Linked DNA regions of Drosophila melanogaster. The protein of the gene in region 1 interacts with the protein of each later gene in a pairwise test. Each region holds a gene or a part of one and is shown in the gene's direction. Other genes may lie near its edges.

The links. Proteins that work in one complex are often made in the same cells at the same time.
Region 2: the proteins of CG16852 (region 1) and Tsp39D interact in a two-hybrid assay, tested with the Drosophila melanogaster proteins (one large-scale study listed by BioGRID).

The regions. Positions count from the first base shown.
Region 1 is NT_033779.5:13,537,245-13,544,746, forward strand, and holds CG16852 (uncharacterized protein), read left to right. Parts: upstream 1-3,506; 5' UTR 3,507-3,555; coding exon 3,556-3,820; intron 3,821-3,881; coding exon 3,882-4,330; 3' UTR 4,331-4,402; downstream 4,403-7,502. Other genes in the region: CG9263 (uncharacterized protein), read right to left, coding at 4,431-4,747, 4,936-5,224; CG16853 (uncharacterized protein), read left to right, coding at 5,408-6,313.
Region 2 is NT_033779.5:21,340,785-21,349,783, forward strand, and holds the start of Tsp39D (tetraspanin 39D), read left to right. Parts: upstream 1-3,822; 5' UTR 3,823-3,952; intron 3,953-8,999.

The DNA.
Region 1 (7,502 bases):
AAATTGCGTGGCTTTTGGCTTATATGTACATATGGTTATGCGCAGGGTATGGGAAAAGTAACCAAGGCCAGGACATCAAATAAAGTTAAGCAAACAAGAGCATTAAGTGCATTGATGTTGTTATTGCCGTTGTCCGGGGAACCCAGAAAGCGTTTCCTTTTTATTTTTACTCCTCGCTGGTCCTTCGTGGTCCTTCGTCGATGCCTTTGCCGATTTAAGGAACAACTTCATTAGGCAAGTGCTCGACCGGCTCCAAGCAGCCTGCTGCCTGTCCTTCTATCTCCTTTATCGCCGTCTATTGATTTTCCTATCAATATTTCCATTCCATTTTACTCTCCCTTATCCTGTCTTTTGCACGGTGTTCTCACGGGCATATTGCATTTCGATCAAATAAATATAAATGCCTAATCATTTATGTTTTTTTAAGAACATTAGCAAGCTAAAAACGTATTATATTTTGGTATGAATTAAGCTTACTTAGCCAATTTAACTTATTGTAAATAAGTTGACCTGGCCAGCACCATTTAATGCTTTTTGTAGAATGCTCTCTCCATGCTAAAACACTAAAAGTAATTCTTTACCTGTGTACCAGGTATTTCACGGTCTGGTTACTTGACAATATGACATCCCTATCCCTATCAGTTTTTTCTTTCTCCATTTTCTATTTGCTCGTGATGTTTTTGCTAACAGACACGGCGAAGAGTGTCAAATGCCATTAAATGCCAACTAACCAGCAGCGGGCCATGTCTAAGCGCCAAGTGGCCAGGTGAGAAAATAGCCAGCTACTGATTGCCACAAGGATGGGGAAGCGGCGGGGATCCTTGGTTGGGGATTCACACGGAATTTTACTTACCTCCTGCCGTAGACAAGAGTGGCAAACGTTTTGACAGCCTCTTCAAGCCTTTGGCAGGTGTAAAGCAATTCTATAACTAAACTGAGTCTTTAAAACATCATGGTGTTTAGTGGAAAGAATATAAGGTATTAGTTAACACGATCAATTTGTGTTTGAAATTGTTTTATATGCTTATGAGCTTATTTACTATAACATACAACTTTGAACTATTTAAACTATTAAGACCTAATGATTTATCTTAACAAGGCAAAACTTCAAGCCAGCTCTATCTGTACATCTTGACCAACATCTGAATAACAAGCCAAGAAATTATGAGCTTTATGATAATAATATGACACGACGAAAATCCGCATCTTGCCAGGCGCTAATTGAATGCATGCTGCGCAAGTGGCAATTCCTTCTGCTCCTCCTGCTGCATCCGAAACTGCCGGCTTTGGCCAAGATGATAAACGAGCTGGCCCAGGGTAATAGGAAACAAACAAGCATTAAGGCAAAAATATCTCTAAACAAATATTATTTACGAGCTGGCCAAGCACGAAGCGCAGACTGGAACTTTTGGCAACGGTTAGACGCCTACTATATATGCCCAGTTGCACCATTTGGTTATATAGAGCGATATATATGTACATATATTCATATATATATATAGTTATCGTGCGGCACCGAAAATAATCAGCCACACCTCATAAATCCAAGAAAAAGGCCGACACATTTTCAGGCAGTGTAATCAGGAAGGTTGCCAAAAACGCGCTGGTGACAACAAAGGGTGCGAATTTAATTAACAATAATTTCAAATGAAAACAGCAATTAATCTAGTGAGACACATGTTTTAGATTATGGGATTTACCTAAGCGTAACGGAATCTTTTGGTAAAAGAAATATCCTTAACATTAATATCCTTGCCTAGCATTATGAAATGATTTTCATTAAATATTTATGAACATTAATATATGTCTATGGTCTTTTATTCTTTACCTAACGTAATAATGATTAAATGATTTTACATCTGTTGTTGTGGCCAGCTTTAAAACGCTTTTTGTAAAAATGTTAATTTATAATCGAATGGATTTGCCCACGAAATGCATTCACGAAATTGGCTTTGTTTAAATCCATTATATGAGACGGACAGCACGATCGATTTGCGTGCCCCTCGGTGCCGCCTCAAAGTAGGCAACACAAATAAAGCTTAACATCATGCCGCCGAAGGGGCGAATTGGGAGCTGCGAGCTGGCGGATAAAGGATGGTGGCCACTCAATCCCAGTTGTTCTGCTTCAACACTTTCGCACAAACACCAATCAACTGGCAGATGAATCAAGCGCAGGCGTTGGCTGCCCAGTTAAGCCCACTCCGTAGCACCCACAGTCCACACAGCCCACGTAAACACCATGCCCCCCATCTTCCCGCGCCCTGAATTCAATTTTTTGGACAGGCGACAAAACTGCGCCACAAAGGGGGAAAAGCGGAAGCAGCGGCAAAGCAGGGAGATGCAGTCCATGGCAACAGCATCATCCAAAGGCAAACACACTGGCCGGCACATGCGAGTGGAAAATCAATAACGTGTACGTTTATCTTATTTTCTCGTCGCAGCGTCTGCTGTCGTTTCATTCCCCTTCTTTCAAATATATATAAATATAAATCTTCGGCGCACTTAAGCCTTTTAAATGATAACAATGGCCGGACCAAAAGAACCATTCCTTCCACCTCTGTTCCCTCAACAAGCCAACGAATAAAAAACACGACCACTGAGTAGCAGGTGCGCACTGGACACCAAAGGACTTACTCTACTATAGGACAGCAACGAGAAAAGTTCCACATCCAAGCCCCTTGGATTTTGATTTCCACACTGCAAATGTGCGTACTTGCTTGCCACATGCCACATGTATGTACGTAGCACCCGGACAAGTCGAGATATTCCATGAATTTATTATGTCCCCTCTGCTTTAATAGAGTTTCATCGAAAAGTTTCCCTCGAACAAATTATGAAATATACGGAGACAGCTTTTTGCCATTGAACGGAAATTGTGGTTTAAATCTGGGGGATGAATTTTGATCTAAAGCGAATGTGCACAAAAAAATATATCAGATAATAAAATGGCAGTTTATGTGTGGCCTGAAGCAAAAGTTTTTATCTTATTTTATTTATTGTGTTGGTATATTAAAGTAGTTGTTTGATCTTAAATTTCGGGGTAAATGTTTTTGACCTTGCAACTTCCAATAATTATTAAAATAATTACATATTTAGACGGTTCTTTTTTTGAAAGTCTTTTGAAAGTAAATTCACCAGGCAAGTGAAATCTCAGTTAAGGAGCTACCCTATATTTTGCTTTGGTTCCTAAAATGCACTTATGCAAAATAACATTAGTGCAGTAGACCGTCATAATTGTCATATTAGACAGGAAAATCCATAGACGACAGTCGACCCTGAAGTGTCGATGGACAGCAGCTTCTGGTTTTGCCCGGCCAGACAGGAAAGGAAATTGCTTAATTTAGCGCAAAAATTATCCACTGGCCAACGAGGCTCAATTGCCGGTCTGCCATGGTCGTTTGAGGCAGATGATAAAGCAACCCTTTGCTACGAATTTTTAGCCAGACTGATTTTAAATGACAGAAATGGTAGAAAATAAATTTAACTCACACTCATGATTTTCACACGAAAAACATATTGAATCACAAAGGCAAGGAGCGACTAGAAGAACTCTACATGCTTAGTTCAAAAAGTGACACTTCTGGAGACGATATCTCTATAACTGCACAAGCAGAAAAAAGAGTGGATGATAGCATCAGAGCGCCATCTATTGGCTGGAATGCTGAGCACAAAGATGTTCAGATTCCAAGGGACCAACTAACCCACAGGCAGATCAGCAAGTGCAATTTGTTTGAGGAATACATCAAGCTCCCAAAGAGTGAATATGGACAAACAAGCCGCATGAAGCGATTCCGATCCGAAGAGTTAGCTATTAAGCAAGGTAAGATAAATGTATAATTCCGTTCTTATTGAAGGGCTAACAGCCTTTGATATCTTAACAGAAGATCAAATCGTGGAGCATAGATCATCGAGTCTTTCGCGGCTATCGGATGTCACAATCAAGCCCACCTGCGAGGTGAGTAGTCAGACTTCGTGGACAGCAGCGGACGAGAGTAATATGAATAGCAAGGATTTGGAGGCGAAGCTGGCGGCTGTACGCGGCGGTGGTATCGATCTCGAAACGGACAAGCCCAGCAAGATCCAGCAGCACACGATCCACATCGAGGTGGAGTCGGTGACATCGGCCACGGCTATGCAAAGACCCCCACTGCACCAAAGGATGTGGCAGGTCCTTGTGCAGACGGCGGATACGATTGTCGCATTCGCCTCTATAATCGGCGAGAATTTAACAGTGGCACTCTTCATTGTCCTGTGCCTGTGGTGCCTTTACCTCTTACTAAGCCACTTTTATGGCAACTTGCAGACCAATGTCGGCATGCCGTCCAAATAATTGTAATAAGAATGATTCGTTTTGCACGTGATTGTATGAGTAAAAATGCAGTAAACAGAATTAGCAGAACAGAGTTCCAACCAGCATTGCGCATTCTAATTTATCTCAACATATTGGGTGTGCAACAACACATGATGGCGAGACTACAATATAGTGCCGAAGCGAAATCGGTTAGCATATAGCAAAAACGATCGGCCAGCGGTGGTCGACCTAGTGCATTTGGAATCTGCATGGAAACGGCATCGATGAATATCGTGTGACGTGTCGATTCGCAGGGTGCCAAAGCCGGGGCAAAGTCCACAGGACAAACTCTAATGCGCCGGCGCGGCTGTTCCGTCTGCACGCCGATCGAGTGGATGTCCTTGAGCACATCGCTATCCTTCTTCCTGAAGATCTCAACATCGTCTTCCGAATTTTCTGCGGGTTGATACAGTTATAGTAACTATACTAAATAAATGCGGGTGACATCTGGTTTCACCAAAATGAAACTGTTTATGGATTTATGACAGTAGTGTTATTTTTCAGAGTTTTCAAGGACAACTCCAAGAGACAGTTCCTATCTTTTTTTTATAGATTGGTTTATGCATTATTTTGATATTTTTTACCTTCCGCCAATGCCTTGGACATCCATCCGTACCAATTCCGTTTGTTTGCTCCGCCTAGATTCGATTTTGAATTGGTGCGTACGGTGATCGAGCTGTGTGTTGCAGCCGGATCACTATCTTCCAAATCCTCAAAACATTCGTCGGCTTGAAAGCCCAAAATATCGAAGAGCCGCTGGCAGGTGTTCTTCTGCTCGGACAGTTTGCGGGGCTCGTTAACGGCATCCTGAACCAAATCGCCAATTAGCAAGTTAATGACGATCGCAGTCTGCGGTGGCTCCCTGCACGCCATTAAGTTTACAGCGTCCACAGATCAAATTTGGAAAAGTATCGAAAAATGTCTTACAAGCTACTGAAGTCAACATAATTTCGGCATATACAAAACGATGTTGACAACTATCACACCGGAACTGAATTTATCACTCAAATTTTGTATTAGCTGGTCAAAAAAATTCCCAGTTTTCAACACAACGCAATGGATAATCATATGGATAAGAACGATGAGGACAAGAGGTCGTCATCCCCGGATTCTCAACGTCAAGTTATAATATATATGCCACCCGCCGTTGAACATGGTCATGTTGTGTATCTAAAAGATGCGAATTTAGGCGCCACAGAGACGGAGGCTTCTGCACAACTCGACCCACAGGAGCATCTTTCGAATGCGGATCGGTTGGAGAACAATCGGGTGATTTCAGAGCTGGATGATGAGCCGAGCACGAGTGCTCAGTCCGCAGTTAAGGGTCAGAAATCAGAAGATGATCAGGGTCACCAGACCAAGACAGGTATTTCAAAAATGCCAGGATCTCCTAAGCAGTTGCACAATGTATTGGAAGTAATCTGTCGCTTCTCACGCGAGATTCCTGATGCAATGGAGGGCCGGGAGCAACTCCAGCCGGCAGTGATTGTCCAAATTCCAAAATATCGCGAACTGGGAACCCAGACCGCTGAGTTGCCATCGCAGTCGCAGCGATTGCGTTTGGATCTGACCGACCTGAGACCAGATCCGAATCCACCGCCCTGCGAACGCACGCTGCACACATTCACGATTAGTGGCAACAATCTGCCGGGCAATCCTCGCCAGCTTCGTCAAACGATCTGCGCGCGAATTGGACGCTCCATCTGTGATTTTGTGGCAGCCTTTTGTCTTTGTCTGCAAGTGAACAAGGATTGTGTCTTCTGTCTGGGTTTTTTTGTGGCCTTTGTGATCAGTGCCAGCTTCCTGACTGCCTTCTTCTACCGCACTCTTACCTTCTCCTCGTCGCCGGTGCGAGTGGTGGCCAATCCGGTGAGCGGCACCATGCGCTATGAACTTGCCACACTGCGATTCAACGGAGGGTACTACTACATCTATAATAGCAGCCAACAAAAGCTTCTCTAATCTAATTGGAACTTGAGTTTTATTTTGGTGCGGGTTCTTTAGCTTACATCTTAAATGTGTGATATAATGTTCTGTTAAAAATAGTGATCGAATTCTTATTGAATTTGTAAAAACTTGTATTATAGTTTAATTTTAACAAAGACTTTTTTGTATACGAGTAACACCTTTGGGTATATTCTTGATCAGGATCCCTAGCCGAGTTGATCTAGCCATGTCCGTCCGCATGAACGATATCCTTAGATTTAAAATACATGTTCTGTTTATTTTTAAGCTGCCTCAAACAAAGTCGGGTTGCGAAACTTTGGAAATGCAAGCAAACCGCATGACCAGGTTCAATCAATGGTCTTTCAGCAGTTTTACTGGTTGTCATGGACTCCAAAGTTTGCAGTTCGCTTACGCCGCTGCCGCAATGGTACTGCCTTTCTTCGCCAACTTTTTCTTGATTTTTTTTATATATTTTTTTTTGAGTTTAACTCTAGACAAAAGTCGCTCTGTATAGCGGGTGGCAGAATGGTGCATGAGTGGATGGAGCGAGGATAGACCTTGTCCGGCTTGACTTGACTTGACAATGGGTCACACAAAAAGTCGGCCTCTGGGTACGGGAAATTGGCCACAAAACGTTCGTCGCCTGCTGTGCCAGGAGCAGGGCGGTCGCCAACTTTTTGGCAAGATGCCCGGGTACAAAGGAATTATTGTTAATATAGGCAATGCCAGCCAGGCCCGGCCCGGCCAAAACGAAGCCCAGCAGGGTGGAGGGGGGCAGGCAATGACCGGGGGGATGTCTTTTCAATATAATTTATTTATGCGAAATATGGCAAATATTCTTTGGAAATTGTATGCCCAAATAAATAACGAACTTTTTATACACTTTGCAAAGAGATTTTTTCGGCATTTTATTTGCTAGCTTTTTTTTTATAGTAGTTTTAATATATTTGAAGCAGAGAGGAATATTTTTGTATTTTATTTAATTAAGCGTTATTTTTTTATTCATATACTTTATCTAAGTAACTTAAATTGGCATAGGACTAATATATATATTTTGCTTATAAGATTACATAGCAATTTTATTTTCATTCCATGCGAATCAACTGGCTTTTTCACAAAGAAGTACCCTTAATTTTATTGACTCTTTGAAGGAGGAGGCTGCTGTCCAAAACGGATGAGCTGTTATGATAGCAAAATCAGCTAA
Region 2 (8,999 bases), 7.8 Mb from region 1:
AATAAACGTAGTTCTAGAGAAAAGGACATTTGCAAGCAGTAAATTGACTGATGTAGGAAGCACCAAGGAAATCGACTGCTTTAGCAAGCAGGACTGCCTTAGATTGCACACGTGGGTCCTTTTCTTGTTCATTACATGCCATGAAATATGAATAACTTATTGGTCTAATTATACAAATTGGTATTAGCAAGCTAAATAAAATACTTTAAAACATAAACAGATAGATTAACGAAGTGGATTACAAATATTTTGATGAGCTTAGTATATGTTTTAATGATCTTCTGAAAGTTTAGGCACATTTTTGATAATTAAAATGAAAAAAACCGGCTACTAAAAATATATCTGTTAAATATCAAGAAATACGTATACTTTAGATAAGACCTACAACTATTTATAAGTTACGGAAGCCTATAATTAGCGAAACTTAGTCGTAAGCTTAATTTCACGTGCACTTTTTTCCGAAAGAGAACCATGAAGAAGGCTAACATTCGATTGTACTTAAAGTTATGGTTCAAGTTTTGTATATATGTATGTATAAACTTATATCCAGATCGATCTTAGATAATTAGCTATGCGCCTATATATCAATGTATCTTTGTATGTATGTATATCGCAATTTATACATTCATGCAAAATACTAAAGCTAAGAGCGCTTTATCACCTTAGTTCTTTTGTTAAAGTCTTTTTTAATTTACAACCCTAATTTTGAAACGATATGACATTCTGTATGTATGTATATCATAGGACTTACTGTATATAGTGTGCATAAATACATATAATTGTTTGTAATAGCAGCAAAAACATTGAATCAATTACCGTTAACTAGCGGTCCTGCCGTCTGAGGAACGACGGTCTACAAAGTGACGCCCCAATAAGTTAATTTACCACCCATGATCTTTTTAATGCACTTGAAACCTTCCATTGGATGCAAGAGTAGAAAACGTGGTAAGAGGGGTGTGTGGGCGGACAGGAAAACAATTAACGTACCGAAACTAAAATTGGCACATTTCCGTTATGGGTCGCCAGACTTAAGACTCTGTACGCGGGAAAGGGACGTCGATAGTAACGCTCGGACGGTAAACAGTAATAAAATAACGGTGCTCAGTGGGTGGTGAAGTCGGCTGATGCGACGAGAGGGGGCTTGTAAGTGTGAGTGAGTGAGGGTGGCTGGGGTCTTAGCAATAATTAAGTAAAAAATTGTAGTTGGGGGAACTCTCTCCTCTTCGGTGTCGAGTTAAGCTTGTTTATTATGTTTGATTAGTCAGGATTTCGTATTTTGGGTAGGTCGCAGGATGTTAAGCTCTTCCACAAACTCCAAAACATCGATTTGTTCGAAGCAGTGCAAGATTCTGAACTGAGTTTCAAAACCTTCTCTGTCAATCAAGCCCGCGTGTCAGTGTGTTTGTTTAAACACAACATTTCGGAAAAAGTTCTAATGCAAGTTCTAATAAAACTTTTCACTTCCTCGGGAATCCTTTCTATTGTACAATTATTCTTTTTTATTTTTTATTCAATTTGCAATCGATGTACCTGTGTTTAACTGAAGTGGTTAAATGTTACCGGTAGATAATTGAGACAGTAGAGTACTGTTACCAAGAAAAAACAAGTTTATTTTTGGTGAATTTCGCATATAAATACATTTATGTATATACATACAGATATGTTTTATACTTAAGTGAAAAGCCTAGAAGGAATAGCTGAAAATCTGCAATTAAGCGAAGATATCGAAATTAATTCTGAGCGGGGTCTATATAGCAATATTCTTAAGCGAAGTGCTTTTTAATCGTACAGATTGGAGAACATTAAAAATTCTGTTACGATTGTGCTAAATATACGCAAAGTAGGACGAAATATATTCGTAAATAAAACTCGCAATATAGATGTGTAGCTCCATAGGTGTGCAATGTAAATGAACAGGAAGAGACTCATATAATATATTTAATGTTATATAGAAATACCCCAAAGGATCAAATATTAATTCAAAAATTAGAAACGTTTTCCCAGTGCTGTAAATTATATGAGAAGCCTATTTTGAAGAGCATTTGCTTAGTACAAGTGAAGAAAAGTATATGAATATTTAAATAAGTAATGATAAAAATAACAAATTCATAATTATATGGAATCTGTAATATGTATACATAATATAATAATATAATATGTATACATTCTCACGTTTAAAGCAAAGATTATTTAATAAAGTAAAGAATAAACCGGAACTCCAACACTTTTGAAAAATTCTGTGATAATTCTTCATATTTTTATTAGTCTTGTAAATTACTATGGATTTGCCAAAAAACTTTTTGCCTCGCCTACTTCAACGTCCAAAGACCGCCCAAAACTGCCACACCTACACTTTTAAAATATTTTTAGAATTTTCCGTTTTATTATTTGTCTTGCCAAGTTTTATCGGTATACAAAACAATGTGGCCACGACCCTTCTTTCACCTACAAAACGAACAAAACTGTCACGCCAATAATTTTTAAATTTTTTCTCATTTTATTCACCAAAATCAATCGATATCCTGGAAAAATTATAAAATTTGGCGATCGAATTTCCACTAGCCGAGTAAAGGGTATCTGATGAGCGGGAAATCGAGTATAACATTTTCTCTTGTTTACATATATCCTTTTACACTTTTACCACTTTTCATCCCCAAGCATCAAATTTTTCAAAGTCCTGGTATGAATACAGAAAAAATCCTATGATATACTCTTTTAATGGGCAAAATGTATTTATAATATCATTAGGTTTTTAATTTAAAACCATTCAACAATGGTTCACTTCTATTTTACCCATTACTCGTAGAGTAAATGGGTATACAATATTGGTTGAAAAGTATGTAACAGGCAGAAGGAAGCGTTTCCGACTATATAATTTATATATATTCTTGATCAAGATCAAAAGCCGAGTTGATCTAGCCATGTCCGTGTTGCCACGCCCACAAGAATCACAAAATTTCCAAGCCCACGTGTAACGTGTAACGTGTAATATAACATAAACCGATTCCACCTTATTCTTGCCAAGAAGGTTGGTTTAAGGGCTAAATCAAAAGCAAAAGGAGAGCTAAAACACGGTGGAAATTTTTTAAAGCGTTGTTGAGTAGAGAACGTGCTAAGTTATATATATTTCATAAACCACCGCGAAAGCGAAGAGGATTTATCTAATGGGAGGAAGGTATATATATCATGTAAATGTTCCTGATTCTCTTTTCTTGATCGGAATCTCCAGACGACTCTATATGCCTATGTCCGACTGCATTCGTTTTCTTGGCATTTCATTTGATGTCATCAGGGACTTATGTATATGCAAAAATTGAATACAATCCTGTTTTAATTTTCACTACAAACATAGTTTTATGACAGTAATCGAATCTCCTTTTAGCTAAACTTAACATTGCTTCTTTTATAATCAATCTGGGTTATACAATTTTTATCTACGATTCGAATCCAGTCTACTTTAGTAAAAAATTATGGCAACTCCCGACTTCTGTATACTGCAGTATGGCAGCTCCCGAACTGTGTAGATGTTGGTATGGCAACTCAAAATCACCTGCAATTGCTACTGAACATTCATATTAAACATAATTACGAAAAGACCAACATTAAAATAGCGTTTGTATTCGGCAATACAAGATTTATTGCTGAGAGGGGAAAAAGCGGTTCTAGCATCAACACGTAATAAAAAGAAAATTAACCAAAATTGATTTTCTTGAAATAATGTTTCCAGCACCGGGATAAGATAACAAATAGTGGAGTCATTCAGCAATCGTTGATTGGCGTGAGGTATCGATGACCATGCGCTATCGATACCTCCGTTGGAATTATCACATCGTAGCTCTACTGTTTGTCAAGTCTCACTTGAAAACATCCATCGAAAGTGCTGTTGTTCTGATTAGAGCGCGGGTGCGAGTTAATCAAGCGAACCGTTGCGTCCTGGTCCTAAATTTGAAAGGTATAAATATTTGGGTGAAACCAATCAGCTGCAATAGATGATGCGGTCCCTTGCGCCATACAAATTGGTATTAGTATTGCCCTAGAGGAGTAATTGTGTGTATGTATGTTGGTGGGAGAGTGGAAAGTGGTTTAAGTGAGGGATGCGACCGAACAATATGCACTTCTCCCTGTGCTACCTGAGATCTAGAGTGTGGAGAGTGATTCTGTTGACTAGTTTGCGTGCTTGCGGCAAGCAGGAGCTGCGGTCCGGTGTGATACATGCCTCGCGAAGTTGCTCCAAGTCGTAGTGGATGGTGCTCCAGGTGCTGGGATGCGCCTAATTGGAGATACACAAACGGTCAGTCAAAAGCTCGTGAAGTGTGGGTAATGCCTATATATATCCGCCACCCGCCTACAAGCGGGTTCCGGAAGTAGGCGACGGCACGCAACCATCAACCAGAAGCATCATTATGCACACATGCAGCTGGACATGGGGAAATCCTCTCAATAAAGCCGCTAGGCGGACATTGATTCATATGTTAATACACGTGTATGAATATGACAATTGGTGAGAGCGGGAACCACCAGTTACGCACAGTGGCCAGATCGCACTAGCGCACTATTCGTCAAGGAGTCAGGATTTGGTTGTCGTCTCAAATAAATAGCTAACTTTGTTAGAGATAAATGGTTAGGTTTAATCAAACTAATCGTTTAATTTCAAGGTAACATAAACTCATATTTTGCTTAAACTAAAAACGGTTTAATATAAATAAGTCTGACAGGACCGTAAAACTGCTCTCCAAATTCGGTCGTCTGGTACCTGGGCGCAAATCAATTAAGGAACTATTAACTCAGCAATGGGAACACTACCAAACACTGTACAATGTAGTAGCAATATTAAATATAATAATATAATAATAAACATGGATGCTTGCTTCTGCAAGCTAAAGTATTTAAAAAGTATTAGAAATGGTCGGTAATCGTAGAGTAAGAATTCACTTAAAAGGATGTTACAGGTAGAAGAACGCTTTTTCCACCTTATAAAGTATTTCTGTATGTATTAACACTTAACACATACGTATATCCAAACTGGTTTATTACGCAGTACTAAGAAATATACGGCTGACGTGTGTATTTTACCCTACATTGTCATCCGTGTGGCAGGTGTAGCCACTTTTTACGCAGCTGACACTATTTCTAAGCTATCGATTTTGTCTTCTATTCCTTTCCCATTGCTTTGAATGCCGATACTTGGCCTATTGCTGGTGGTGGGGTGGCACTAATAATTTAAAAACCGACCTATTTCAGTGCAGAGTTCAAACTCATTCAAACTACACAACTATTACAGCAAGCGCAATATACATACATATGTATGTATGTACATATGTATTCCTGTCCTTCCTAGTTTTCGTTCTCCATGTCCGTCCGTATGAAGGTGGAGATCTGAGGAACTATAAAACCTACAATATTGAGATTAAGCATATAGATTTCAGAGGCATAGTTTGTTTACTCATGTTGCTACGCCCACAAACCCTGCCAAAGCTGCCACGCCCACACCATTGGAAAATGTGTTGATATTTATATATCCGTTACTCGTAGAGTCAAAGGTTATGATCAGGATCAATAGCCGAGTCTATATGTCCCTGTCTGTCTGCTCGAATGTCTATGCGTCCATATGAACGCCGAGATCTCAAAAACTATAAAAGCTAGAAGGTTGAGATTAAGCATAAAGATTCTAGAGACATAGGCGCAGTGCAAGTTTATTTCAAATCACCCAAAACCGGTACGCCCACTGTTTGTTTTGATATATTTTCCTATTTTTATACCCGTTACTCAGATTAAAAGGTGATACTAGATTCGTTGAAAAGTGTTTCCGACCAAATCAAGTATATATATCCTTGATCAGGATCCATAGCCGAGTCAATCTGGACATGAAAGTCGAGACCTCAGGAACTATAAAAGCTAAAAGGCATACAGATTCTAGAAACATAGACGGAGCGCAAGTTTGACCCATGTTGCCACACTCACTCTAACGCCACGCCTACACTTTTGAAAAATGTGTTGATATTTGTTCACATATGTATTAGTCTTGTAAATTTTATCGATTTTGCCAAAAACGTTTTTGCCACGCCCACTCAAACCGCACAACCGGTCACGCCCACACTTTTGAACAATTTTTAAATTTTTTTTCATTTTATTTCCCAATATCTCTTGATATCCCAAAATAAATGATACTTTCGCGTTCTCATTCACACTAGCTGAGTAACGGGTATCTGATAGTCGGGGAACTCGACTATTCTCGCATTCTCTCTTGTTAGTTTTGTAAATTTCTGTCGATTTGATAAAAAACTTTTTGCAATGCCCACTCTAACGCACAAAACCCGCCGAATCCTGTCGCGAACCCACTTTTGGAAAATATTTCGATCTTTTTTCATATTTTTAATAGTCTTTTCTTTCCAAATTCTATCGATATGCCAACAAGGATGTTAAATGCTTAAGCTGAGTAACGGGTATCTGATATTCGAGGAACTCGTTCATTCTTGCTTTTTAAATTCATTTAACAGTTTTTTAATGCAAAATTTGTTTAAATTAATGTATTTTGTATATACTCGTAATAGTTGACATTGTAAAGGTTCGGTAAAGTTGTACATTGAAATAACTCCGGAAAAAAGTTTTTAAAACTTCTTCAATACAGGAAATCCATATCGTTAGCCGGGAATAGCTTACACATACAGAATAACATACAGGAATAATGAAAAGACCGGTGTGTTTGAATCTTGTTCTATGATTATCACTTTAACAGAGTACGGATAAAAATGAATACTAAACGTATACGAGCTTAAATAGCGTTAGGCAGTTGGTTTATTTTTCTTCGCGTCTTATAGCATGTAGTATGTGCATATATCGAGGGTACACTGTACCTATAAGTACACAGCAACACTTAGTTGCATTGCATAAATAAATGTCTCAAGTGAGCGTGATATAAGATCACCCATTTATGCTTTAAGCTAAGTCAGCATCCCCACGCTGGCCGCTGGCCATATATGCGCATAAGCTCTCTCTCTCTCTCTCTTATACATATATATATACGCTGCTCTTCTGCCGCTGTCGACGGCGGCGCAGTCGCAGTATTTAGGTAAGATTAGACACTCTGTAGAGGTTAAGCGGGCAGAACCGTTTCTGCTACTCGAAGAGATAAGAAGAAATAAAAAGGTGGCCTGACGGCTGCACCCAACTGCAAGGAAAACACGTGTTCTCAATTGGTGGCATATATTGGTTTATTACATGGCGACCGTGAGGCAGGAGCCTGCGATCTGAGGACTACTGAGGAAATGCTGCTAATATTGCCGATTTGATTTGGGAATTCTAAACAGCGACAACAGGTGTGAGAGGCAGGCCGCCCCTTACACCAGTGCGGGAGACCTAGAGACGGGACACTGATGAAAAAAAAAAAGAAACAAAAATACTGAGTGAGTAGAGTGTGGTAATGGGCAAACGCGGATGTCAGGAAATCAAAAATAAAGGTATAGCACATATTAAGTGGCTATGATATACAAATAAAACACCGCCCCCATGGGCAACGGCACAGAAATTAACTGCCGAATTAGACTTTCTGAAAGAAAACCTCCAGCAAAGAAAGCCGAATACCACAACTCACTCAGCAAAAATAGAAATAATCAATGAAGAAATAACTGAAAATTCAACATCACCCAAGCCGAAAAGACCCGACGTCTGCATGAACGACTGCCCTCGACCATTGTAAGCCGCAACAGCAATTAGCACGGCATCCTGCGAGGGTAGGATTAGGATAAAGGATAAAGGATTCCACCGGCGCGCCGCACATGACAACAGCGAATGTCTACCAAGCAGACGTTCGAACACCCTGCTCCTGTCGAGCAAAGGGATCTGCCAAGTATCAAAGAGGTAATAGAGGTAGATCCGTCCGCGGGACCAAAGCCCTTGACCATACAAGAGTACAAGGCACGGACTGCAGCGAGGGAGCAGCCACCTAAAAAGAAGAGGGGTGGCCGCCGGATTAAGTTGCTCAGCGCCCGGAGGCTCAACATCGAACTACTGAAGACGGCAACTAATGAGGAAGACCGGCAGCGCTACAAAGAGCGCCTTGCAGCCATCAATCAACAACTTCGTGGTGCGAAGTAAAGCGGCGGGCTGCGTTATACGCCATAGCCTCAACCGCCCAAATATTATATTAATGTTGTCGATGCGGTTTCCGCTGCAACAAAATTACTAACTTATCAGGGACCCATTTCATAACTAACACATTATACTCAGTCCTAAACTTAAAATAAGTAATAATATTGTAAAATTGCAAATTGCAACCGATGTAAACTGAGTATAATGAATTCATCTATCAAGTAAAAATATGTTTAACAACAGTTTAGACCTATTAAAATTTCGAGCTATATTTATATCTGATCGAGATAACAATAATTGACCAATTCTCAAAGTTAAAATTCTATTTGTACTTTTGATATACAAATAAAGACTAATTTTCCCCATATCAAAATGGGACATAAGTCGTGGATACAACCCCACAGTTAAATTCAATGTACTTACTATTTTTGATTTTAGTTATCCTATCAGCCTTTTAACCTGGCCTTAAAACTTTATCAGTTTCACAAAAGATCGTTGAAAAGACTTACATGAGTCGAGCCAATGATTTAGACAAAATCTAATAGAAACTACACCAAAAAGGTACAAGTGCGATTACATCGCTAAAAGGTACATACATGGAATGGCTAAACTTAACCATATCCATAAACAATATTAGAGATGCTTTTGATAAATCCTATAAATGTATTAATAAAACCGCGCTGATCAAAACTCAGACGCTTATTTTTCACATAAAGGTATTGATAACACAATACAACACATTACAAAACCTAATAGTAACAAACAAAAGCAAACTCACTGAAGAACATAAAGTCCAATGCTTCAAAGTTCTCAGTTCATTTGGTAAAAGACTACATAATACCAGCGTTAGACACAGTATTATAATAGAAGTCCCAACAGAACTAACCAAAATAGCAGAATTCGACGAAAGC